4 linked regions of the Macaca mulatta genome follow. The protein of the gene in region 3 purifies or fractionates together with the protein of the main gene of each other region. This does not show direct contact. Links are inferred from orthologs where the notes say so. Each region holds a gene or a part of one and is shown on either strand. Other genes may lie near its edges.

What was found.
Region 1: the proteins of COPS6 (region 3) and RHOBTB1 purify together in Homo sapiens (affinity purification with mass spectrometry; 4 studies listed by BioGRID and IntAct, counting the BioPlex papers as one, with this or other methods). This does not show direct contact. The link is inferred for Macaca mulatta from reciprocal best matches to the Homo sapiens genes COPS6 and RHOBTB1.
Region 2: the proteins of COPS6 (region 3) and BTBD1 purify together in Homo sapiens (affinity purification with mass spectrometry; 3 studies listed by BioGRID and IntAct, counting the BioPlex papers as one, with this or other methods). This does not show direct contact. The link is inferred for Macaca mulatta from reciprocal best matches to the Homo sapiens genes COPS6 and BTBD1.
Region 4: the proteins of COPS6 (region 3) and BTBD2 purify together in Homo sapiens (affinity purification with mass spectrometry; 4 studies listed by BioGRID and IntAct, counting the BioPlex papers as one, with this or other methods). This does not show direct contact. The link is inferred for Macaca mulatta from reciprocal best matches to the Homo sapiens genes COPS6 and BTBD2.

What each region holds. Positions count from the first base shown.
Region 1 is NC_133414.1:88,904,434-88,910,349, forward strand, and holds part of RHOBTB1 (rho-related BTB domain-containing protein 1), read left to right. Parts: intron 1-391; exon of another isoform or gene 392-545; intron 546-1,771; 5' UTR 1,772-1,781; coding exon 1,782-1,973; intron 1,974-2,335; coding exon 2,336-2,439; intron 2,440-5,916.
Region 2 is NC_133412.1:73,727,239-73,732,967, reverse strand, and holds the end of BTBD1 (BTB/POZ domain-containing protein 1), read right to left. Parts: exon of another isoform or gene 5,726-5,729; intron 5,224-5,725; exon of another isoform or gene 4,944-5,223; intron 3,887-4,943; coding exon 3,740-3,886; intron 3,264-3,739; coding exon 3,105-3,263; 3' UTR 1,487-3,104; downstream 1-1,486.
Region 3 is NC_133408.1:47,395,669-47,402,322, reverse strand, and holds COPS6 (COP9 signalosome complex subunit 6), read right to left. Parts: upstream 5,217-6,654; 5' UTR 5,195-5,216; coding exon 5,122-5,194; intron 4,899-5,121; coding exon 4,773-4,898; intron 4,577-4,772; coding exon 4,445-4,576; intron 3,806-4,444; coding exon 3,717-3,805; intron 3,614-3,716; coding exon 3,551-3,613; intron 3,298-3,550; coding exon 3,250-3,297; intron 3,162-3,249; coding exon 3,047-3,161; intron 2,962-3,046; coding exon 2,869-2,961; intron 2,768-2,868; coding exon 2,667-2,767; intron 2,537-2,666; coding exon 2,396-2,536; 3' UTR 2,277-2,395; downstream 1-2,276. Other genes in the region: DNA replication licensing factor MCM7, read left to right, coding at 1-45, 807-916, 1,075-1,276. UniProt on the Homo sapiens protein: Component of the COP9 signalosome complex (CSN), a complex involved in various cellular and developmental processes.
Region 4 is NC_133424.1:2,712,610-2,718,525, forward strand, and holds part of BTBD2 (BTB/POZ domain-containing protein 2), read right to left. Parts: intron 4,187-5,916; coding exon 4,067-4,186; intron 2,800-4,066; coding exon 2,643-2,799; intron 1,367-2,642; coding exon 1,187-1,366; intron 136-1,186; coding exon 30-135; intron 1-29.

The sequences.
Region 1 (5,916 bases), on a different chromosome or scaffold from region 3:
AATCCTAACCTAAGCACACATCTGTTCCTTGAATCACTCTACTCCATTCCTGCCAAATCGTTCTCCAGCCTCAGCTTTAACACGTCTTGTGATGGCGTTACAGTCGACAGTTCCATACCCTTCACTTTCTGAGACAGCCCATGTTCCAATAGTCGTAACTGTGAAAAATAATTCTTCTTAATATTCTTTCTCTATATCCCTGTCAATGCCCTTAATCTCATGTTATCCAAGTTATTGTTTTTCTCAAATCAGATGAAATAAATAAACACTTGAGTCCCAATTATGTATTAGGCTTTACTCTGAACAGTTTTTTACCATAGCCATTAAAATCTTTACTGACTCCTTAAAAATGACTGTCCACCCACTTTTTTCAGTTTAACAATGGACTTCCATTGCTTGTCAGCCTTTTGACTAAGATCAAGTGTAGTATCTGTTCTTATTACAATAGACTCCCTCGAAAAGGCAATTATAATTAATTAAAATATTAAACTCATACATGGCTGGCCTGCTACCCAGCCGCTACTGGTAAGCAGTCTGCACCCCTGTTTGTGAAGGGTCCTGTCCCTGGGGAGACCAAGCTGGCAGGTGCTTTTTTTCTTCCTCTTGGCCTCTCATCAGCAACCCTGTTTAAACCTTCTTGGATGATTTCAGGAAGATTCCAAAGTAACTCTCCTGGTAAAATTATTCTTTGCCATATGTTCCAGATTTCTTGATGAAAACACGGAAGATAATTTTTTTGAATCTTATTATGGGCCCTCTTAAGAATATCTTTTTTTGTGGCTGGGCACGGTGGCTCACGCCTGTAATCCCAGCATTTTGGGAGGCCAAGGTGGGGAGATCACTTGAGATAAGGAGTTTGAGACCAGCTTGGTCAACATGGCAAAACCCCATCTCTACTAAAAATATAAAAAGTAGCCGGGCATGGCGGTGGGCACCTGTGATCCCAGCTACTCAGGAGGCTGAGGTAGGCGAATCGCTTGAACCCAAGAGGCAGAGGTTGCAGTGAGTGGAGATTGCACCACTGTGCTGTAGCCTGGGCGACAGACTGACATTCCATCTCTCTCTCTCTCTCTCTGTCTCTGTCTGTCTCTGTCTCTCTCTCTCTTTCTCTCTCTCTCTCTATATATATATATTTTTTAATGAATTTTGAATTTGATTTAATACAAATAAATATGTTAATTTGATTAAATTTAGACTTACAGTTTACTCTTCTTTGACGTCAGGTAGTCTTTCAGCCTGCACTTTTGATTATTCTCTAAGTCCCCATAATAGTTTTGAACCTATAGAAAACTGCTTTTCAACAACAGATATTGGCTAATGGGCAATATTGTGATGAAGCAGATGCTAGCATTGCCAAGGCTGCCTATTGCCCCAGTGTTGATGTTTAGCCCTACAGGTGACCGGACTTGCTAGCAGGCCAACGTGAGTAGCCAGTAGGCTATAAATGTGTGCCAGCTGTCCCGACAGTGGCTGAATGGAGTTCCAGTAGGCAGGCTGTGTTTAGAGAAAACCAAGAAGAAAATAACATGTTAACGGGAATAAACCGTTTGGGGTCAAAATAACAGTCCCATGTTTTTGTACTTGTGTGAGATATAAAAAGAAAACTTGAGTGTCAATTAGGCTTAGTATGAACTTCCAAACATTCTTGCCCGTGCTTGTGCACCTCCAAGGAAGTGGCTGGATGAAGGCAAAACTCCCCGAACATCTCACGTCTTCGATTGCTCTGGAAAGCCTTGGTGTCCTTACTGCGGTGTTCGCTCTCTCCTTCCAGAGTTTTATAAATGGACGCTGACATGGACTACGAAAGACCCAACGTTGAAACCATCAAGTGTGTGGTCGTGGGTGACAATGCCGTGGGAAAGACGCGCTTGATCTGTGCCAGGGCGTGCAATACCACGCTCACGCAGTATCAGCTGCTGGCCACCCACGTGCCAACCGTGTGGGCGATTGACCAGTACCGCGTGTGCCAGGAGGTAAGATGCACAGAGTGTCTTTAGCATCCCTAGGGCACATCATTGCTGGTTACCAGTCTGATTTTTTCAAGGAGGAGCGTGGGTAAATTGCACATTCAAAACTAAACTAACCTTTTTAGTGCCACAAAAGAAAACAAAAGTAAAATGCAAACCGGAGACTATGGCTCTGGGTATCCTGAATGAGGGTTGAGACAGGTGGTTCCAAAAAGGGAATTAAGACTTAGCTTAAATCCCATTAGATAGAATAAGGAAACTTAATGCAAGTGAATTGAGGGGCACTGAGGGTGCTGACTTGAACATGCTTCTCCTAGGGAACTTCTTACTGACACTGAGCACAGATGCTGTCTCTCTCTCTCCTGCAGGTCTTGGAGCGTTCTCGGGATGTTGTTGATGAAGTGAGTGTTTCCCTCAGGCTTTGGGATACTTTTGGTGATCATCACAAAGACAGACGCTTTGCATATGGCAGGTAAACCAAGACTAGTACAGTGCGGTTGAGCTTGAGTGCAATTTCCTTTTCAAAACCAGCAGCTGGTTCACAAATCAACAAAAACCACATCATATGGCCTTGAAATGTGTTGGGTTCTGCACTGTGTCTAAGAAAAGAAAAAAGAAAAAAAAAAAGAATGGTATTGTTTCCTGAAGTCAAGAAAAGCAGCATGCCCTGCCAATGAGGAAGTACTGTGTTGAAAACAAGCAGTGGTCAAGCTGGAAGGTTTGCTAGATGAGGATTCTGTAACACCCTCCAACTGCAGGCTGCTTTGATTGCTGGTTCTCTGAGTAACACTTCACTTGCCTTCTGTTAGAATGTTTTATGTTATTTTGGCACTCAGTCACCCTACTTCAGAAGGACTCTTTGGTCTTTTCATGACCATATTGGCAGAGTCTAATGTTATTTGCTTTGGGTTTTGTGTTATCTGAAAAGTCTGTTATTTTTATTAGAAGGTCATTTTTAAAAAGAAAGAAAAACATCCCTGAAGTCCTTTGCAAGACATATTTCCAAAATGAACGGAAACACTAATGTTTATTTTTTATTTTTAAAAAAAGGAGAAAAAAATCTAGTAATGGGAAAACTCCTCTAAAAGGACATTAATATGGGTAGGAAGATGGTCAAAGTGCCTTAAAATATTTAGCAACCTCTGCTTGCCACCATAACTTAACGTCTCTCTCAATGAAAGGGTTATAGCTATTAAAATCTGGATTAGTGGAGACTTTTTTTTTGCCACTTAATTATAAATGAACACATTTCATTTTAAGTGTAGAATGTAGATATCATGGCCTTGTTGTCTCTTCTTAACATTAAACATCATGTTACCTTACAGGATTTTATTAGTTAGGAACTCCAAGCACATGAATTACTCCTTGGTATCGAGATAAGCATTTCTGAAGATTCTTCTATTTCTCCAAGCCAGTAGCTCTCTGAACAGACTTTTATTGTCATTTATCTAAGTGGCCTAAAATAATGAATAAACTGCTGGAAGAGTTTGCCCTATTCCTAGGAATTATTTCACACACTGAAAGAATCTGTGACTTAGACCACTTTTTTCAAGGGGACTCAGAAAGAGAGATATGGAAGCAAAACACAGTTTTAATGTCCGCTTGGTAACAAGGACTTTTGAACTTAATATCCGACATCATAGATAGTTTTCTTTTCCTTGAATTTCCTGGATTTTTTTTTCTTCCTGTAATGTTCTTGATTGTTATCTTAGTTGCCGTTTTGCTTTTTTCTTTTGGCCAATTGTTCTACATGTAAAAATAACAATTATAAATGAACCTGCTTGTAACTGCTGGGCAGTCAGGTTTGTAACCCCTGTGGTTTTGAGGAAGCTTGATTTGATGACTTTAGGCAGTGTGAGGATAAATACAATAGATTTCAAAGGACTTTTTTATATCCCCACTTCTAAAACGGTGTTGTGAAAATGATGAGCCTGATGATGAGTTAATGGAAATATTTGGGTTTAGACTCTAGAAACTATTTCAACAGCTCAGTGATTTGTTGCCACTAGAAATGTATGCATTTGTCAATACCTGTGAAAAAAAAAATACCACAGAAAAAAAGAGAAAACAACAATGAAATGTATTCATTTCAAACAATGAATTTTAACATGACCCCTCAGCGTAAAGCTGGTGCGGTGGTAATAAAAGGGCTGCTTCATTATTTTGTGAGATTCCTGCATAGCATTTATTTAATGGCACAATGGCCTTCGTAGATCCACACTGGGCCCTGTCCAGCTCCCTGACATAGCTGGAGTCATTTTACAATACAACATGCCATACCTGCGTGTGTGTTCCCTCCCAACAAAAATAAGCTGCTCTTTCCTGTGACTCCATCAGTTCAAAGTGCTTTGTTCTGCTCCCTTGTCTGTAACATTTGGTTCTGTCAACTGTAACCCATTATCCCTTTGGTAGAAACAGGAAGTGCTCCCCCAAGCCAACTTTGATTCTCTGAGGAACATAGAGGGGCTTCAGGAACACTCCCGTGTTTCTGGCCACGTTCTCCTTGGGGCCTCACTTTGTGTGCATGTTTGTACCTTGTATTTCCTCTGTCTTTTCCAATTCCTCACAGCCTCCAGGTGTCTTGACACAGACCCCACCTCTAGTTAAAGAACAAAAACCAGAGCTGCTCTTTCTTGCACTCCAGCATCTTTCTGTAAATGCTAAATATGTAAGATCACATTGACGTAATGCCAAAAAAAATTACATTTTTATGGAAAAACCTGAGAGAAGTAGTTCTTTTATTCACTCTAGGTCCCTGACCAGTACATTTCCCTGCTCTGAGAGAGCTGTTTAATTTCTTAATGACTTCAAGTTTTACCTTTATATCATTCGTGAAGGCGAGGAATCATAATTATAGCTTCTGACAATGTTTGTTTTGCAAACCTGTTTTGTGACTGACATTTTTACTATACTTAGTGAGAATTACAATTCAGTGGGATGTACTCAGACATAAACTTTGAGGCATGTGAAATACGTTCCCTATACTTGGAAATGTATTTGAGACCTTTTTAGAATAATTAATTTGATTCTTGTGGTGACAGTGAGAGAAGCCAGATTTAAACCAACATGTCTTAGACCTTGCCTTCGGTTTCCTCTGCTTCATAGCAAAAGATAGTTAATAAGTTGCCCCTCAAACATTCTTTGGCATGGACAAGCCATAGTTTGCAGAGAGGATTCTGTGGGATGAGGAGTTGTCAGTGGTAGGCAGTTGGCCAACTTGAATTTGCAATGTTCCTGATGTGGTATAACCACAGTGTTATTGCTCTCTTATGATTTAAATGGAACTATTCTACCCATTTTTTGCCAATTAGAATAAAATCTTCAATTTATCAAAAACCTGCTGTGTGCCAGTCAACACATTAGGTGTTTTGCCAACATTAGTTAATCCTTTCAGGAACTATAGGAGGCAGAGATGATCTTGGTGCTACCATTGAGTAAAGGGTTGAGTTCTTTTACTACCATAAATTTTCCCAACAACTGAGTCTCAGAGGCAGATTCAAAGTCACTCTGCCTGACTCCTGGCTCTCACTCTTTCCACTGTGCCAAGCTACCTCAACCTACTGGGACCCTACATTGGTGAGCTGGATTTCTATTTGCTCTTTTGGATTTGTGCAAAGATTGGAACTAGAAGAGATTTCAAAAGGTCATCTGGTTGACCCCATGTCTTCAGGAAGGGAAATCATCCATCTATCCAAAAAGAAGTATTGATAGGAGCCCTTCTATTCCATGGAGATGAAGGAAACAGAGTAGCATGAGCATTGTAATGCTCTGCACTTTGAAAACTGTCGACCCTCTCTTCTCTGGAGTGAGTAACTCCAGCTCTCTTATGGCCTTTTTCCCACCACCTACTTTATATCCACTTTTGGATGAACTTTTAAAGCTCTTTTCTGGATCTTTTAAAATGTCAGGAACAAAACCGTACATAGTAACCGTGACTTTGATCAGCTGC
Region 2 (5,729 bases), on a different chromosome or scaffold from region 3:
AACATGGTGAAACCCCGTCTCTACTAAAAATACAAAAAACTAGCCGGGCATGGTGGCGGGCACCTGTAGTCCCAGCTACTCAGGAGGCTGGGGCAGGAGAATGGCGTAAACCCCGGAGGCGGAGCTTGCAGTGAGCCGAGATTGCGCCACTGCACTCCAGCCTGGGCGACAGAGCGAGACTCCATCTCCAAAAAATAATAATAATAATTAAAAAAAAAAAAAAACTATAGGTACTACTGTCAACACTCTGATAATGCAAGGAATCTCAATTTGTTGGGTAGATACTGGAATATCACACTTTCTTAAAACAGAAAGTATATTTTATAGTAGATAGTCAAATATCTTTTTGGGTCTCACTGCAAAGTTTGAGAATGGTGACATGTTATTTTTGAACCCTGCAAAACATTTTCTCAACTCTGTAAATGGGTTTAAATTCCACCTCCCACCACTTGATAAACTTTTTTTTTCCTGCCCCGACAGGGTCTTGCTTTATCACCCAGGCTGGAGCGCAGTGGTGCTATCATAATTCACTGTAATCTTGGACCCCTGGGCTCAACCAATCCTCCCCTCAACCTCCCAAGCAGCTACAACTATAGGCACGTGCCACCACAACCCAGCTAATTTTATTTTTCAGAGACAGGGTCTATGTTGCCCAGGCTGGTCTTGAACTCGTGGCCTCAAGTGATCCTTCCGTCTCAGCCTCTCAAAGTGCTGGGATTACAGGTGTGAGCCACCATGCCCAGCCTAGCTGACCTTTTAATTTGCCCGTGAAATGGGTACTTACCTCATACTGATGCTGTGAGAAACAAATAAGAATGTAGTCAAGTACTTATTGCAGAGCCTAGTACATAGTAGTCACTTGGGTAGTTATTATTAATAAACAGCTGTAAGATGATAGTCACACTCTAACAGTAAGATTATTTATTGGATTCTCCCACATTCATCCTCCACCTCCTGAGATTAGAACAGGGGAGAAAAACCTGAGACCACAAGAAGTGATCAAGAAACAAAAGGCAGCGGCAGTTATCGCTGCAGTTCCTATGAACTGCTTTAAGTCAGCAGTGAGGTATTTGTATTTTGTATTGCATTACTCCCATAAAGTTAAACTCAATTAACTAGAACCTCTGTTCCAAAATGGTGTTTATAGCCAGGCGTGGTGGCTCACGCCCGTAATCCCAGCACTCTGAGAGGCCAAGGCAGCTGAGGTCAGTTCGAGACCAGCCTGGCCAACATAGTGAAGCTCCGTCCCTACTAAAAATACAAAAGTTAGCTGGGCATGGTGGTGGGCGCCTATAATCCCAGCTACTCTGGAGGCTGAGGCCGCAGAATTGCTTGAATCCAGGAGGTGGAAGATGCAGTGAGCTGAGATCACACCACTGCCCTCCAGCCTTGGCAACAGAGCGAGAATCCATCTCAAAAAACAAACAAAAAATCAAAATGCTGTTTATATTCACTTTTAGAAGAAAAAGCAAATGACAAAAAAGGGTTACATATATATATTTATTTTTAAAAATTCCAGGGGATGTCCCAAAGTTAGTAAACAGTTCTGTTTCTTGTCCTTTCTATGGCTGATGCAGTTTCAATTGTTCAGTTCAACAGAAAGGTCATTTGAAAGGTCTCCACCGTCAAGAAACACTTACTCATCTCTGGCATATCATATTTTTTAAGGCAGAAGTATTTTGTATAATGGTTACTACAGAGTGTTTACTGGTTAATTTTTAGTTAACCAGAACCACACATCCCATAGATATTCCATTTAACTGAGGTTTATATCCATAAGAGCATTACCACAGAAAAATTTCCCTTTAGCAATTTCAGGAGACCTCAGCCACCAATATACCTACCTTCTTGACAATATAAAGTGAAAGATTGCTTTGGATGAAAAATTTTTATATATTATTTAGAAAAAATTAAATTGATACTTAAAAGAATTTTGATTTTTAATCACCTTCCACAACGATTTGATATACCTTAAACTCCACTTACATTTTTTATAAGAGAATCACTTTCAAGGGAAAAAATGAATCTTACTATATTTTAAAAATCTGCTTTATAAAAAAGCATATATATGTCAATCTGCCAGATATACTTCCTATCCCCAACACAGCTGTAACAGTGACTAATAGGGTCATGACCATGAAGCAAATTTTACTTCCTAGATAGAAATGTGTAGGTGGCAGAAAGTGTATTTTTCAGCAGGAGTGATTCTGTTGGATCTCTTTACAATATCAGAGCAGTTGTTAGAAATGTTAGTATTTTATTCGGTTTCTTGCTGTGCAGGATTTTCACAATGTTGAAGTGATGTCTGTTCACCCAGTCGTCATCACCGTCATCGTCTCAGTCTTGGGAACCATCAGCAGTGTCCCCCACACAGAGAGACAGGTATAGTGGTGCAGTTTAGTGACAGAGAATCCAGTCTTAGATCCTGTTTATATCACATTTTTGTGAATTTACACAAAATTCCATTTATAGCTTTAAAACTGTACTACATAACACATTACTACTACAAAATATCCTTCTCTGTAAATGCACTGAAAATTTTCTTGGGCATTTTATTAGGCCTTTTTTAAGCATTATTACAAATGCTAACAACTAGATAGTTCAAACCCCCAAATATAAAGTCAGCTTCTTAATTTTCTGAAATTTAGTTAATACGAATTCTGTAGGAATACTGACCCATGTCTTTTCATCCAACCTTCAAAACAGTTAATTAAGCCTAGTTGCCCATCTCAATTAACCTTCAAAATAGTTAAAAACAAACCCAAACTAGCTATATATAACAAGAATCTTTCAATTTCCAAACTATTGAAAGACCCTAAGTCAGCCAATCTATGAAATTATACAAGATGAAGCTGAAAAGGCTGTGCTTTTTTTTTTTAACCATTAAACCCAGTTCTTTTCTCCTAAAGTTGTAAGAAAATGGAAAATCTGTTTTTAAATCATGCAAAGATTTAAATAAACATTTTTCTATCTCCTCTAAGAAACTGTTTCTTATCTTACGATTATAAATATTCATAACACTCAAACTACTTTTTTGTGGCCATTTATGTTTTTGACACTAGATTGTATGGTACTATTTTGCCAAGATGTAGTATAATGCTAAATTATGTATAAAATATGATTTCTGGAATTTGTCCATCTTCTATTGAAGTGCCATTATTATTGCCTGGGGAACTAAAAAAGAAAAAAACAGTCTTGCTTGCAGCAGGTGTCTCATGCACTACTTTCTTCAATCCTTTTGTGCCATAGTGGGAATCTGGACCCTAAATGAGAACAAAAGGTTCCTTAGTAATTTTCATTTAATAAGCACTCAATTTAATGTGGTGTTTTAATTAATGTTCTATTACATTACACTATCACTCCTATATACAATTTTATGATATCATTTAGAAAAAAATGAAGTTTTTACCAAAAAACTAATTAATGAATAAAAATACTGAATGTAGAGCCCAGCTATTAGAGAATAGTGAAAAGATTTTTTAAAAATTACTTTTATTTTCTGCCAAACATTCAACTGCTTACTGAAACAAAGGGCTACTTCTTAGGAAGACCTATTTCCTTTAGAACAGAGCTGTGGGGAGAAGCACTTCTTTTCAGAAGGCAGTGGAATATTTTAAGTACCAGCTTCTTTTCCCCGCTCTTTATAAATGGCTCAGCTGTCAGTGACTCCCAGCTTCTAAAACACACTTTCTGCAACATTCAAGAGGAAACCATCTGGAACATCGTGCATGATTCTTACTTTGAGTGTTGCACATGCTGTGTAGCACACATTGGGCAGGATCTCTATGGGTTCTTTGAACATGACCCTGAACGTGTTAGCCGTCCCATCACAACTAAAGCCGGTATCGTTCTGTCCCAGCGTTTGTTTTTTCTCATATTCAATGATCTGTAATTTTTAAGAGACAAGTTACATTTAAGTTAAACCAAATGAAGCAAACTACAGAATAATATGAAGCCCTTAGGCATCTCTGTGTGTGTGTGTGTGTGTGTGTGTGTGTGTGTGTGTTTTAAACAGACTCTCACTCTGTTGCCCGGTCTGGAGTGCAGTGGTGGGATCTCAGCTCACTGAAACCTCCACTTCCCAGGTTGAAGCAATTTTCGTGCCTCAGCCTCCTGAGTAGCTGGGATTACAGGTGTGCACCACCACACCTGGCTAATTTTTTTGTATTTTTAGTAGAGACAGGGTTTCACCACGTTGGCCAGTCTGGTCTCCAACTCCTGGTCTCAAGTGATCTGCCCACCTCAGCCTCCCAAAGTGCTGGAATTACAGTCTTGAGCCACTGCACCCAGCCCTAATTTTTCATTTTTTTGTGTGTGGCGATGGGATCATGTTCTGTTGCCCAGACGGTTTCTATTATTTTACTCATAGTATTTATACTTCATCTTTTTTTCTTAAATTATATTTTATGTTCTAGGGTACATATGCACAACGTGCAGGTTTGTCATGTGCCATGTTGGTGTGCTGCACCCATTAACTCGTCATTTACATTAGGTATATCTCCTAATGCTATCCCTCCCCCCTCACCCCACAACAGGCCCTGGGGTGTGATGTTCCCCCTCCTGTGTCCAAGTGTTCTCATTGTTCAATTCCCACCTATGAGTGAGAACATGCGGTGTTTGGTTTTCTGTTCTTGCGATAGTTTGCTGAGAATGATGGTTTCCAGCTGCATCCATGTCCCTACAAAGGACATGAACTCATCATTTTTTATGCTGCATGGTATTCCATGGTGTATATGTGCCTCTTAATCCAGTCTGTCATTGATGGACATCTGGGTTGGTTCCAAGTCTTTGCTATTGTGAATAGTGCCACAATAAACATATGTGTGCATGTGTCTTTATAGCAGCATGATTTATACCCAGTAATGGGATGGCTGGTACACTTCATCATTTTAATGTACCTATAATCCTGATGCCCTCCCTCAGTTTGTACACAAGGAGTCTGGTGTCTTCTTTTTTTTTTTTTTTTTTTAAGACGGAGTCTCACTCTGTAGCCCAGGCTGGAAGGCAGTGGCGTGATCTTGGCTCACTGCAATGTCTGCCTCCCAGGTCCCGGTTCAAGCAATTCTCCTGTCTGAGCCTCCCAAGTAGCTGGGATTACAGGCATGCACCACCATGCCCAGCTAATTTTTTTGTATTTTTAGGAGAGACGGGGTTTCAACATGTTGGCCAGGCTGGTCTCAAACTCCTGACCTCGTGATCCACTCTCCTTGGCCTCCCAAAGTGCTGGGATTACAGGTGTGAGCCACCGCACCAGGCCGAGTCTGGTGACTTCTGTAATACATAATGTAAGAGTGAGGTTCCACAATCAGCGGCTGACAGTGGGGAACTTGCGCCTTCCTGGACCTGCCGATTATCCAGCTTGCTTAAGTGGGTTCATGGGGTCTACTGAATAGGATCTTAACAATATATTTAAAAAGTATATAAAGTACAATGGGGAGTGATTGTGAAAATCTTTTATATCCTTCAGAGGTTTGCTAACGTCTTTCTGTACTTAAAAAACATGGAAACAAAATTTTCTAACCTATTAAAAAATCTTTCAAATAATTTCAGTGAGTTTAAAATTTATTAAAATATTAATATAACTTTTTGGCTGGGCACAGTGGCTCACACCTGTAATCCCAGCACTTTGGGAAGCCTAGGTGGGCAGACACCTGAGGTCAGGGGTTCGAGACCAGCCTTGCCAACATGGTGAAACCCCATCTCTACTAAAACTACAAAAATCAGCTGGG
Region 3 (6,654 bases):
TCCGCTCGGACCCTGCTGGCTATCCTGCGCCTTTCCACTGCTCTGGTAAGTGCCCAAACTGCTGGAGGACCATCTGTTTTGACCCTTAAAGTGGCAGCTCCTTACCATGCTCTCATCGCCGAGTCCCTCCCGCTCCAGCCCTGCTGGGGCTAAAGTGCTGACAGTGCAGATAGTGGTCCTCTCCGTGCTACCGCACTGTGGGTACTTGCTGCTCCAGCAGGGCACGCACAGCGTCCGTGGAGGGAAAGGCCTTTTCCCCACTTGTTAACCTTCACTGAGCGGGTGGTTGGGATCTGTTTCACTCCATGTCCTAGATCCTGTGCTACAGACCTTCCTTTCTGTCCTCCCGTCTTGGACCTCAGTCCTGGGGGCTCCAAAGTGCTGTTCGTGCAGGTAGTGTGATTAACCGACCTACTGCTGAGCTAGCACTTCCCGAGCCCCCAGGACACGTTCTCTCTGCCAGTTGTCTTGGCTGAGCTCCCCAAGCTCCATCTGTCATGCTGGGGAGCCCAGTGGAGTTCAAAAGGGTCTGGTCTCCCTCACAGGACAGCTGAACTCCGGGACTGGCCAGTGTTGAGAGGCGGAGACTTGGGCAATTGCTGGACGCTGCCCTGGGCATTGCACTTGTCTCGGTCTGACAGTGCCGGCCCAACACTGCGGATGCTGGGGGGGGTGGGGGGCTCCTCTCCTGTTTTGTGAGTAGGCGACCCATGGGCTGCCCAGCCTTAAAGCCAGAACAAGGGTGTTCCCTGACCTTGTTCCACTGCCCTCCTCCCGTTCCCATCTGTCCCCTACCTTCCCCTTAGGCGCGTCTGCGAATGGTGGACGTGGTGGAGAAGGAAGATGTGAATGAAGCCATCAGGCTAATGGAGATGTCAAAGGATTCTCTTCTGGGAGACAAGGGGCAGACAGCTAGGTGAGTGGTTTAGTGAAGGACAAAGCTGAGTCACTTTGGCTTTTGTGTCCATGTGTCTGAGGCTGGCCTCAATTCTAACACTGACCATCATTGTTCTCTGTTGATGTCGAGCATTCCTGTTTGTCCCCTGACCTTACACACCTACTCATTTCCTTCAGGGCTCAGAGACCAGCAGATGTGGTATTTGCCACCATCCGTGAACTGGTCTCAGGGGGCCGAAGCGTCCGGTTCTCTGAGGCAGAGCAGCGCTGCATATCTCGCGGCTTTACACCCGCCCAGTTCCAGGTGGCTCTGGATGAATACGAGGAGCTCAATGTCTGGCAGGTCAATGCTTCCCGGACACGGATCACTTTTGTCTGATTCCAGCGTGCTTGCAAGCCTGGGGTCCTCTTGTTCCCTGCTGGCCCGCCCCTTGGGAAGGGGCAGTGATGCCCTTGAGGGGAAGGAGGAGCCCCTCTTTCTCCTATGCTGCACTTATTCCTTCTGCTAATAAAGTGTTTGTAGATTGCCACCTTCTAGCCTGGGCCTTTTGTGTTTTTTAGATTCCTACCTGTTCCTTTTTTATGCTCCTATTTCATCGACTCAGTAAATTGTCTGAGTAAGCTGCATCTCCCTGCCAGGCCCCAGTATAGATGCTGGGGATGTGGCAAAGACTAAGTGGTCCCTGCTGTTTGGAGATACTTGAGCTGGGGCTCCACTTTTTGAGCCCCCCGACTCCCTTATTTAGTCTTACACTGCCTGTGTGCCAGTCAGGCTCTGGGGATACGGCGCCAGTATGAAATGCAGGGTCTCTTGGTTTTTCCCCTTTTCTAGCAGACAGGTCATTACTTAACCACTTAGTTCCCAACTCCCACTCTAAAGCTCTGGTTAGCGGGTGATGAAAATCGGCACAAGTGATCACATACAGCAATCCTGACCTTTAGACCACTTCCTAGCTGCCTCTCCAAAATATGTAGTAAACGGTCATTGAGAAACTCCCTCCTGGTAATTCACAATGCCCACAGGATCAAGGCTTGGACTTGTTTCTAATAAAAATCTGCTTACTATCTCTTGTTTTATGCATGTGTGAAAAGTTAATTTCGCTCGGGAAAGTAGTTGTCACGTTTATAGGGCTGGGCTATGTATAAGATGTCGTCAAGGGTGACATTAAAGTGTAGAACAGAGACCGCTTAGGTGGAAGCAGGCAGCCTTGGATGCTAACGACAGTCCATGTGACTGACACGGGGTCACTTGAAATGGCAGTGCCTCCCTCATGGAAAAGCATCAGAAGGGCTTGTGAGCAAGGCTCACGATGAACCTCGATGAACATCCAAGTTGACAAACCAGTGTGGTGCCTAACAGAGAGGACAGAGCCACCAGCAGGGGTGCTCGGGGGCTGTTCCCCTTTATTATTAATGACAGCGGTTTCTCTCAAGTGTAGCGCCCTCCCCTTTGGGACAGTTGCCTGACCCCTGTCCATCAGCCCTTCAAGTACCCTCCTCAGAAGAAGAGCCCGCGCATTCGCCTGCCGATGCCTTGTCGATCATAGAGGACGTTGAACTTGTTCACAAACTGGTTCATGGTGTTGCACGTTTTCGTGATGGTGCCGAGGTAGGCCATGAGCCCCACGTCGTTGCATTGCTGGGAGGGAACAGAAAGGACAAATTCCTCAGGGGATCCCTCGTGGCATGCCCAGGGAACAACAGTCCCCGGTCCTCCACGTGAAAGTGACAGCATGAGCCCCACCTCCCCATCCAGGTTTTAAACTCACATCATAAAAATCTGTCTTGAACTTGTCTGTGCTGAGCACCGGGAGGCAGTGACACAGAGCATAGGCCTCCCGCAGGATCTCATGATTAAAGGGGACCTCTCCTAAAGGCACAAAAAGAGGCTGCATTAGTTTGGATGCTGTCACTTCCCCAGGAGGGAGAGGAAGAATGCCAGGGAAGTGCCCAAGGAAGCCCCTGTCCTACCCGCTTCAGAGGCCTTGACGTACTCCAAGATGAGCTTGACGCGGCTGTGCAGCATCTTGATGGCGCTGTGCTGTGCTATCAGGTGTTCAGCCACTGCAAAGGGACGAGGACAGGAGGAGGTTGAGACGGGATGTGGCCACACCTTCCAACCCCACTTCCAAGTAATCCCCTCCATTACCAGTGGAGTTCTCTCCACTGCCTGTTGCTGTCATTCGGGCTACGTGGTCTACACCAATGCGTTCCGCTTCCTCTGTGGCCAGAGTGTAGGTCAGCTCAGCAAACAGCATTGTGGCCTACAAGGCAAGGTAACCCACAAAGGGAGAATCAAAAGCAGGAAAGAGGCCAAGAGCAGGATCTGAGGGTTCAAGGGTAGGGTATTACCTCTCCATTGATTATATCGATGACAGACTCAAAAACGCTGACAGGAAGCTGTGAAGGAGATGGAGAAACCTGAACACTATATGCCAACATTTGGACGAGCTGCTTTCACCCATTTCCTCTCATCTCATCTTCCCAAGAAACCAGTGAAGTAGGGATTACCTCCCTTCACAGTTTGGAGATGAAATGACTAAGACAGAGTTACAGCTGGTAAGTGGCACCTGGCATTCCCCAATAGAAGAGTATCACACAGTAAAAGACAACAGTGACAATCACGACAGAGTAGGCATGGGGTATTACTCACATCTGTGTGCTTGGTCATAGGGTTCAACTTCAGAAAGAGGGGGCTCTCAATGATCTCACACACCTGGAAGAGAGGGACAATGCACAGAAGTCAGTGACCCCCACCTTTCTCCTTCCCCTCATTCTCCATTCTCTGCCCCAGCATGCACAGGTGTGAGCATGTATACCTGCTTATGGACGTGGATGTCCGAGGGGTCAGGTGGCCCCCCTGTGGTATACCAACCCAGAAACTCCAGCTCCTTGAACACCTGTTTAACTGGAGGGGAAAGGGCCAGAACACACAGTAATTCTTTTTTTTTTTTTTTTTGAGTCTTGCTCTGTTGCCTAGGCTAGAGTGCAGTGGCACGATCTTGGCTCACCACAACCTCTGCCTCCCAGGTTCAAGCAATTCTGCCTCAGCCTCCCGAGTAGCTGGGACTTCAGGCACGCACCACCATGCCAGGCTAATTTTTGTATTTTCAGTAGAGATGGGGTTTCACTATGTTTGCCAGGCTGGTCTGTAACTCCTGACCTCATGATCCACCCGCCTCGGCCTCCCAAAGTGCTGGGATTATAGGCCTGATTCACTGCGTCCGGCCTGACATAGTCCTTTAAACCATCCTTCCTCAATGTGAAACTCCTGGTGTATTTTCACCAGCTTCTCCTCCTTCCTCAAATCCTGGCTCAGTTTAGAATAATTACTCCCTTCTATCCTGTCTTCTCTCATCCTTTACTTTCTTTTTGAGAAAGAACTCTGAACGTGTTCTTTTTCTGAGATCTCTCCAGCTACTCTCTTCACTTTTTCTCCTCTGTTCTTGGCGTCCTCTCGGGTTTCTTTCCAACCCTCTCCATCTTCCCCACCTTGCACATTTTTTTTAACTCCCACTCCTCTTCCCCACATCTATTCCACTCTCACACTGCTCCTCCTTGGTGTAATAATATTCCTTGTCAATTATAATCTTCTCTTCCACGGTGTGGGACAGCAGCTCAAAGGAGTTCATCACCTCGATATTTCGGCCCTCCTGCTTGCCAATCAAAGCCCCAATCACTGGGAGAGAATGACATGGAAAAGGTAACGTTAAAGAGACTTCTATGACCTGAGGGTCTAAGATGAGTGGGAACCAAGTATTGGGGAAACGATGATTTGGGGGAGGGGAATTGGATCCAGTAAAGGAAGGGGAAAAGACCACTGTCTGGGGGAGGTGAGCAAGGAGAGGAGACTGGAGTCTATGCCCAACACTCACCCTGCACAGGCCGCCCCTCCTGGGAGCGCATGCGGATCCAGTGGTCGGAGATGTTGAGAATGACAAGGGGATGGAGAGCGACGGAAACACTCCCAGTCACTCCGGAGGCCATCACGCTGGGAACTACTAAGGGTGGAGGGAAAGAGAGAGGGTGAGAGTCCGGGCCCCACGTTCTTCCCTGCAGATAGCAGTGGGGGACGACGGAGCCCGGGCCACACTTTTCCTCCCGCAACTTATCCCAGAGAAAGATGTTGCTGCTCCGCCCTCCTCCCTTCTCCCGGGAGCACAGCAAGGCCTCAACGCACCCCTGAAGGAGGTCTCCGGAAGCCGCCCGCGCACGGCCCGTTACCTGCTGCATCCACCTCCATCCCGCTGCTCCCTCCGGTCCCGTTTGTAGCTGCACCCGCCGCCGCCGCCGCCATTTTCCCCGCGCCCGCCAGCCTCGGCCCCGCCCCCTTCCCTCCCGGCTTCCGTAAGGCGAGCAGCGCATGTTCTGTGTCTCCGCGGCAAGCGGCGGGCCTGGCGTCCGGGGAGCAGGCAGTTCCCGGGTCGCGGCGGGCGGCACTCGGTGCAGGGAAGCCCGACGCCCTCTGGGCCTCGGTGCCTGCCGGTTTTCCCAGACCCTGTCCCCGCCTGTCGCCTGCGGGTGACCTTGGACAAATTAGTTAACGATTTGATTGATCGTCCTCGTCTGTAAAATTGGGATAAGAACTCCTAGTTCTTAAGGCTGTTGCAGAATGAATGACATGTCGTGTTATTTCCCTCACAATAAAATCCAGACAACTAACCACAGCCTGCAAGGCCCTGCCTGATCTGGCCCCGGTCTGGCCTCTACTTTTCTAGCCCTTGATCTTCAGGCTACAGCTGCACTGGCCCTCATGTCTGTCTGGTGGTGGTGGTTTGTTTTGTTTTGTTTGAGACAGGGTCTCGCTCTGTCGCCCAGGCTGAAGTGCAGTGGCCTGATATCAGCTGACTGCACCCTCAAACTCTCGGGCTCAAGTGATCCTCCCATTTCAGCCTCCCGAGTAGCTGGGATTACAGGTGCACCCCACCACACCCAGCTAATTTTATTATTATTTTTTTATTTTGATAGAGACAGGAGTCTCACTAGGTTGTCCAGGCTGGTCTCCAACTCCCTGACAGAAGCGATCCTCCATCCTTGGCCTCCCAAAGCACTGGGATTACAGGCATGAGCCACCACACCCAGCTCTCCGTGTCTGCTTTCCACATGCCTCACTCTCGCATTCAGGAGCCTGTGTTTCCTTCTCTTGTTCATCGTGGTATCCCCTGTGACCAACACGGTACCTAACACATTGGTGCCTAGATACTTTTTGAGTGAATGAAGGAATAATTTGGGATGGAATCTGGTGTTGAGTTGCTCCATCTTGTGAAAGTTGCAGATACCAGGACAAAAATCACATTGTCAAGTCCAAACAAATTGGAGTCATGAGAACACCAAGCAGAAGGGCTCATGCTTGCATGTCTGATATAGGGACTGTCTCAAGGACTTTCGAAAATAACCCCACAAGGCCAGGCATGGTGGCTCACACCTGTAATCCAAGCACTTTGGGAGGCCGAGGCTGGCCAATCACTTGAGGTCAGGAGTTTGAGACCAGCCTGGCCAACATGGTGAAACCCTGTCTCTACTGAAAATACAAAAATTAGCCGGACGTGGTGGCATGTGCCTGTAGTCCCAGCTACTCGGGAGACTGAGGCAGAAGAATTGCTTGAACCCGGGAGGGAGAGGCTGCAGTGAGCTGAGATCGCACCACTGCACTCCAGCCTGGGCGAGACAGAGTGAGACTCCGTCTCAAAAATAAATAAATAAATAAATAAATAAATAAATAAATAAAATAACTCCACAAGGCCAGGCATGGTGACT
Region 4 (5,916 bases), on a different chromosome or scaffold from region 3:
TTCCCACACCTGGGCCCCTGGACCCTTACCCAGGTCAATGTCGGTGAAGCCCTCTGCGGTGATGGCATCTGCGGTGTTTTTGTCGATGTTCTCCAGGCACAGGCTGGCCAGCTGTGGTTCATCGAAGAGTCGCGCCTGGCGAGACACATTGATGGGCGCGTGGCGGGGACATCAGCACCCAGCCCTCGGCAGATCCCGTGTGGAGCTGGCTCAAATGCAGCCCTGACCGCACAGGCCTTCCTGAGCGTGGCCAGGAGTCACCGGGGTCTCAGCCACCAGGCTGGCCCTGCCGTGGGCCCAGAGACCCCCGTGTGACCGCTGAGTGGGGCGGGAGAGTCGGGGAGTTCCCTCTCAGGACCTCAGAGGCCAAGGAAGGAAGAAAAAGATGCTCAGGTCACTGTCGGCAGGGCCTGCTGCTTTAGGCAAAAGGGGCACTGCAGCTGCACTTGGGGGGCAGCAGGGCCCAGGACCCCGAGTGGCAGGCAGAGGTGAGGCGGCCAGGGTCGACCCGGTGAAGCTTCCGGATCACAGCACGCCCTTGGCCACCTGTGGTGGGAGGGGCTGTGTCCCTGGCACCTCCATCCCAAGACACACAGCAGACATGACTCCTGACAGGTGACAGAGCTGGACGTCGCCTGTGCTCTTAGGGAAACTGAGGCTGTTAGTGGAAGGTGCTGGAAGGGCCTATGCCAGCAGGGACGCGGGCAGGCCTTTCTGCAGGCATTCCCCCTGAGGACACCTCTCAAGCGGGTTTGCAGTGGTTTTAGGAGCAGGGAGGCTGAAGCAGCCACAAGACAAAGCTCGGGGCATGAACTCCAGGCACCTCTCAGGTCAGGCAGAGGCCCCTCCGGCAAGACGACCACAGATGACCCGGACAAGAAACCCCGCCCTCTGGGAGTCCGGATCCTCTGCATCTGACCTGCCAGGTTGGAGAGGGAGAAGGTTCTGGGTCTTTTCCAGGATGCTGGACCCCCGAAGCCCACTGGAGGACCTAGTGCTGCTGTCCCCTCTGGCCGCCCTCCACCCCCGACCAGGAGCTCACAGCTCGCAAGCGGCCGTCCAACTGTCCTGGCCCCATGTCCTCCTCTCAGCCTCCCTGGCCTGCACGACCTCCCCAGCTCCCACCCGTTGGGCTGCACAGAGCCCAACTGGGGTCCCCTGAGATCCCCGGCCCTGCTCTGTCTACCTGACATTTCCTTAGAGAGAGACGGAAAGTTCTCTCTTTTTTTTTTGTTTCTTTTTCTTTAGCCAGGCGTGGTGGTGGGGGCCTGTAATCCCAGCTACTCTGGAGGCTGAGGCAGCAGAATCGCTTGAACCCTGGAGGCGGAGGTTGCAGTGAGCTGAGATCATGCCATTGCACTCCAGCCTGGGCAACAAGAGAAACCCGTCTCAAAAAAAAAAATTATTTTACTTTTTTTGAGAGACAGGGTCTCACTCTGTCACTCAGGCTGGAGTGCAGCGGCGCCATCTCCGCTCACTGCAGCCTCAACCTCCTGGGCTCAGGCAATCTTCCTGCTTTGGTGCCCCAGGTAGCTGAGATTACAGACACGCACCACCATGCTTGGCTAATTTATGAAAAATTTTTTTTTTTTTTGAGACGGAGTCTTGCTGTGGCGCCCAGGCTGGAGTGCAGTGGCGCGATCTCGGCTCACTGCAAGCTCCACCTCCCGGGTTCACGCCATTCTCCTGCCTCAGCCTCCGAGTAGCTGGGACTACAGGCGCCCGCCACCACGCCCAGCTAGTTTTTGTATTTTGAGTAGAGACAGGGTTTCACCATGTTAGCCAGGATGGTCTCGATCTCCTGACCTCGTGATCCACCCGCCTTGGCCTCCCAAAGTGCTGGAATTACAGGCTTGAGCCACCGCGCCGGGCCAATTTTTTTTTTTTTTTTTTTTAGTAGAGATGGGGTTTTACCATGTTGGCCAGGCTGGTCTCAAACTCTTCACCTCTGGTGATCTGCCTGTCTCAGCCTCCCAAAGTGCTGGGATTACAGGCATGAACCATTATGCCCAGCCTGTATCTTTTTTCTATTTTTTGTAGAAATGGGGTCTCCCTATGTTGCCTAGGCTGGTCTAGAACTCCCGGCCTCAAGCAATCCTCCCTCCTCGGCCTCCCAAAGTGCTGGGGTTACAGGCATGAGCCACCGCACCCTGCCAATAACTTTTTAAACTATCACAGAAAAGTCCAAGACACATTTTTTTTTCAGGTGGAATCTCGCTTTGTTGCCAGACTGGAGTGCAGTGGCGCAATCTCGGCTCACTACAACCTCCGCCTCCCAGGTTCAAGCGATTCTCCTGCCTCAGCCTCCAGACTAGTTGGGATTACAGGTGTCCGCCACCACTCCAGGCTCATTTTTGTATTTTTAGTAGTGACGAGATTTCGCCATGTTGGCGAGGCTGGTCTGGAACACCTGACCTCAGGTGATCCGCCCGCCTCAGCCTCCCAATGTGCGGGGATTACAGGCGTGAGCCACAGCGCAAGGCACAAAACACATTTTACTACCAGGCAGGATCCTGCTGCCTCCAGGGCCCACCCCGGTCCCGCCTCCAGCCCGTGCCCGCCTCCAGCCCGTGCCCGCCCCCAGCCAGGCCTGGCCCCGCCTCCGCCCCGTGCCGGCCCCGCCCCGTGCCGGCCCCGCCCACCTGCGTGAGCAGCATGAAGGCGTTGTCGGCTCGCAGGTTCTTCTTCAGGAACTCCACGCAGTGGGCCTCCAGCGCTGGCACCGCGTACTTCTTGGCGGTGTATAGCGTGGTCATCACCGTCTCCGGGCCGATCTGCACCTCGTCCGAGTAGAGAAACCTGCAGAGGCAACGCGGGTAGCCATGAGATGGGACCGCCATGCCCGCCCCCAGGGAACAGCGTCAGAGGACCACTCAGACCTGGCCGCCTGCCCTTGAGCCTGCAGGGCCCAAACGCCCCACATCAGGCTCCCCGAGGAACCTTCCAGAATTAGCCCTTGTCTGTTGCCCTCTGACCTAGGGACATGACTTGGCAAGGCAGTCACCCATGAAAACAAGAGGCTGAACCCATCCACACAGCACACACCCGGAAGCGTCTACACGGCCTGTCTCGTTCTTCCCGGGATGCCCCAGGAGAGGGCACTGGGAGCTGGGTGTCTCCTCCTTGGGCGCCTTTTCCATGAGGAACTCTTGGTTCCCCACCTCAGGCCCCACCGAAAACCTCGACCATTTCTGGGTGATCACAGAACCCAACACACTAGTTAGGCTCATGGATAATCATGGACGACATTACTGTATGCCAGCGAGGGGCCCACACCACGCTGAACACGATGCCAGCCAGTGGCCCACACTGAATACAGATCAGAAGTTGGGCCGATCAAAAATAGAAGCAAAGGCCGGGCCTGGTGGCTCGCGCCTGTAATCCCCGCACTTTGGGAGGCTGAGACAGGCAGATCACCTGAGGTCAAGAAGTTCCAGACCAGCCTGGCCAACATGGTGAAACCCCGTCTCTACTAAAAATACAAAAATTAGCTGGGCGTGGTGGCGGGCACCTGTAATCCCAGCTACTCAGGAGGCTGAGGCAAGAGAATCGCTTGAACCCAGGAGGCAGAGGTTGCAGTAAGCCAGGATCAAGCCACTGCACTCCAGCCATGGTGGCAGAGTGCTACTCCAAATAAAAAAAAAAAATTTTTTTTCTCAGGTGGATCACCTGAGGCCAGGAGTTTGAGACCAGCCTGGCCAACATAGAGAAACGCTGTCTCTACTGAAAACATAAAAATGAGCTGGGTGTGGTGGTGAACGCCTGTAATCCTAGGTACTTAGGAGGCTGAGGCAGGAGAATCACTTGAACCAGGAAGGCGGAGGTCGCAGTGAGCTGAGATCACACCACTGCACTCCAGCCTGGGCAACAGAGCGAGATTCCATCTCAAAAAAAAAAAAAAAAAGAAAAAAAAAGGTGCCTCTGGAACCCCTCACTGCACAGGAACACAGTTCTAGAAATCTCCACCAAGCCAGGGCCTCTGAGGTGGTGTCAGACAGGGTCTGCGTTCTCTGAGGTCCCCCTCCCCGCACCCGGCTCCCCAGCAGGAAGCATCCGGAAGCGTTACTTGAGCAGTGCAAGGAAGGCAGCGGGTTCCACGTCGGGCAGCTCGATCTCTGTGGACGTTGTGGCCATTCCCCCGTTGAACATGGCATCAAAGACGGCGCTGCCCACAGCCAGCACGAACCTGGCATGGGAGAGAGGAGGCCCTGGTTAACCCCATGGCCGCCACCCCATGGTGGGGAGGGCCTGCCCGGTATCTTGGATGACCACCCCACCAGGGGTCCCCACCAGCCCCCAGCAGGCATGTGCCAGGCCCCCTGATGGCAGAGGCTTCTGGAAGGGGCCTGGGACAGCAGGAGGGTGATGCAGATGGACCCACGGCAAGGACAGACAGGGCTGGGACCATGCCCTGGACCACACAGGGCCTCACACTCTGCCAGCCCTCACCATCCTCTTTCCTTCCAGGCGTCAGGCACGCATTCACGCATTCCCACATGCATGCATGCATTCATTCACAGATGCGTTCATTCACTCGCTCATTCATTCACATGTTCATTCATTAACTCATTCATTTCCATGTACATTCACTCACTCATACACATACACTCACTCATTCATCCACACATGCATTCATTGACCCACTGATTCATTCCCATGGGCGTGCATTCACACGCTCATTTATGACCCGCATTCATTCATTCACTTTCTCATTCATTCACTTTCTCATTCATCGCACTCATTCGCTCACTCATTCATCCAACACGTGAATTTATTCGCTCATTCACCCATTGACACACACATTCATTCATTCCCACATGCACTCATCCACTTATTCAGCCTCATTATTCACTCACTGATTCACACATTCATCTACTCTCTATCACTTTCCCGCTCACGCATTCCCTCATCGGCACACACTTTCCCAGGGAGTCAGCTACAGGCACAGGGCCTGGCCTGAGGGAGACAGACAAGGACCAAGTGGCCGAACAGCCCCCACGGAGTGAGGGAAGAGAGAGGAGCGTGGTCCTATTCGGAACACAAAGCCCAGGGAAGCCTTGTGGGGTCATCTGAGCCACCACGCCGGTGGGGAAGGGCATCAAGGCCCAGGGAACAGCAGGAGCATGGGAGGAGCGTTAGGAGGCACCAGGGGCAGCCCCAGCTGGGAAAGCAGTGGCTGTGAGGACGCTGTGGGTTCTGCCCCGTGTGGAGCACAGGCTCCCTATGGGACCCACTCAGTGGCTCAGATCCTCCATATCGCAACAGGCAGGAGGGTGTGGTGGGCACAGGAAGGCTGCTGGTGCCTCCCGAGCCTCCACAAGAGCCGGCTATGAAGCCGCATTTGGCCAGGTCTGTATGGGGCGCGGAGGACTCCATGGCTCCCAGGCTCAGGACGCCACTCTATGCTGTGCATGTACGGTCCCCAGGGCCTGCCGCCATGATGGCCTCCCAGGGGGCTGAGACCACACACAGCATAGGGGGTCCCGGACACTCAGCAGGTGCACAGACACTCGCAGGGCGGGTTCATAGACGCTCGCGAAGTCGCGCGGCGGAGCACCTGCCCCAGGACGTGGCGGTCCCTGCGTCACCTCTTCCCCACTTGTCCCCTTCCACGGCTCCCACCACAGCAAACGCCGGCTCTGAACAGCCTCTCCCCGCCCAGAAAGCTCCGGAGCTGCAGGTGGTTCCGCCCGGATGGGACCTGCTTCTCACTCCTGCACCGCTCCACCTCCAGGGCCCTCTGGGCGACCTCCACACAGCGCCCAGGAAAGCCCCCGCCTTCCGGGGAGAAGCTCCCCGCTCTCCTCCCACCACGCGCGCCGCCCCGCAGGCCCTCAGCCCATCCAGTCCAGCCCAGGGCTTGACTGCGCCCGAGAGTAGGGTCAGAAACCAAGGCAGTGGCTTCCGCACGGACCC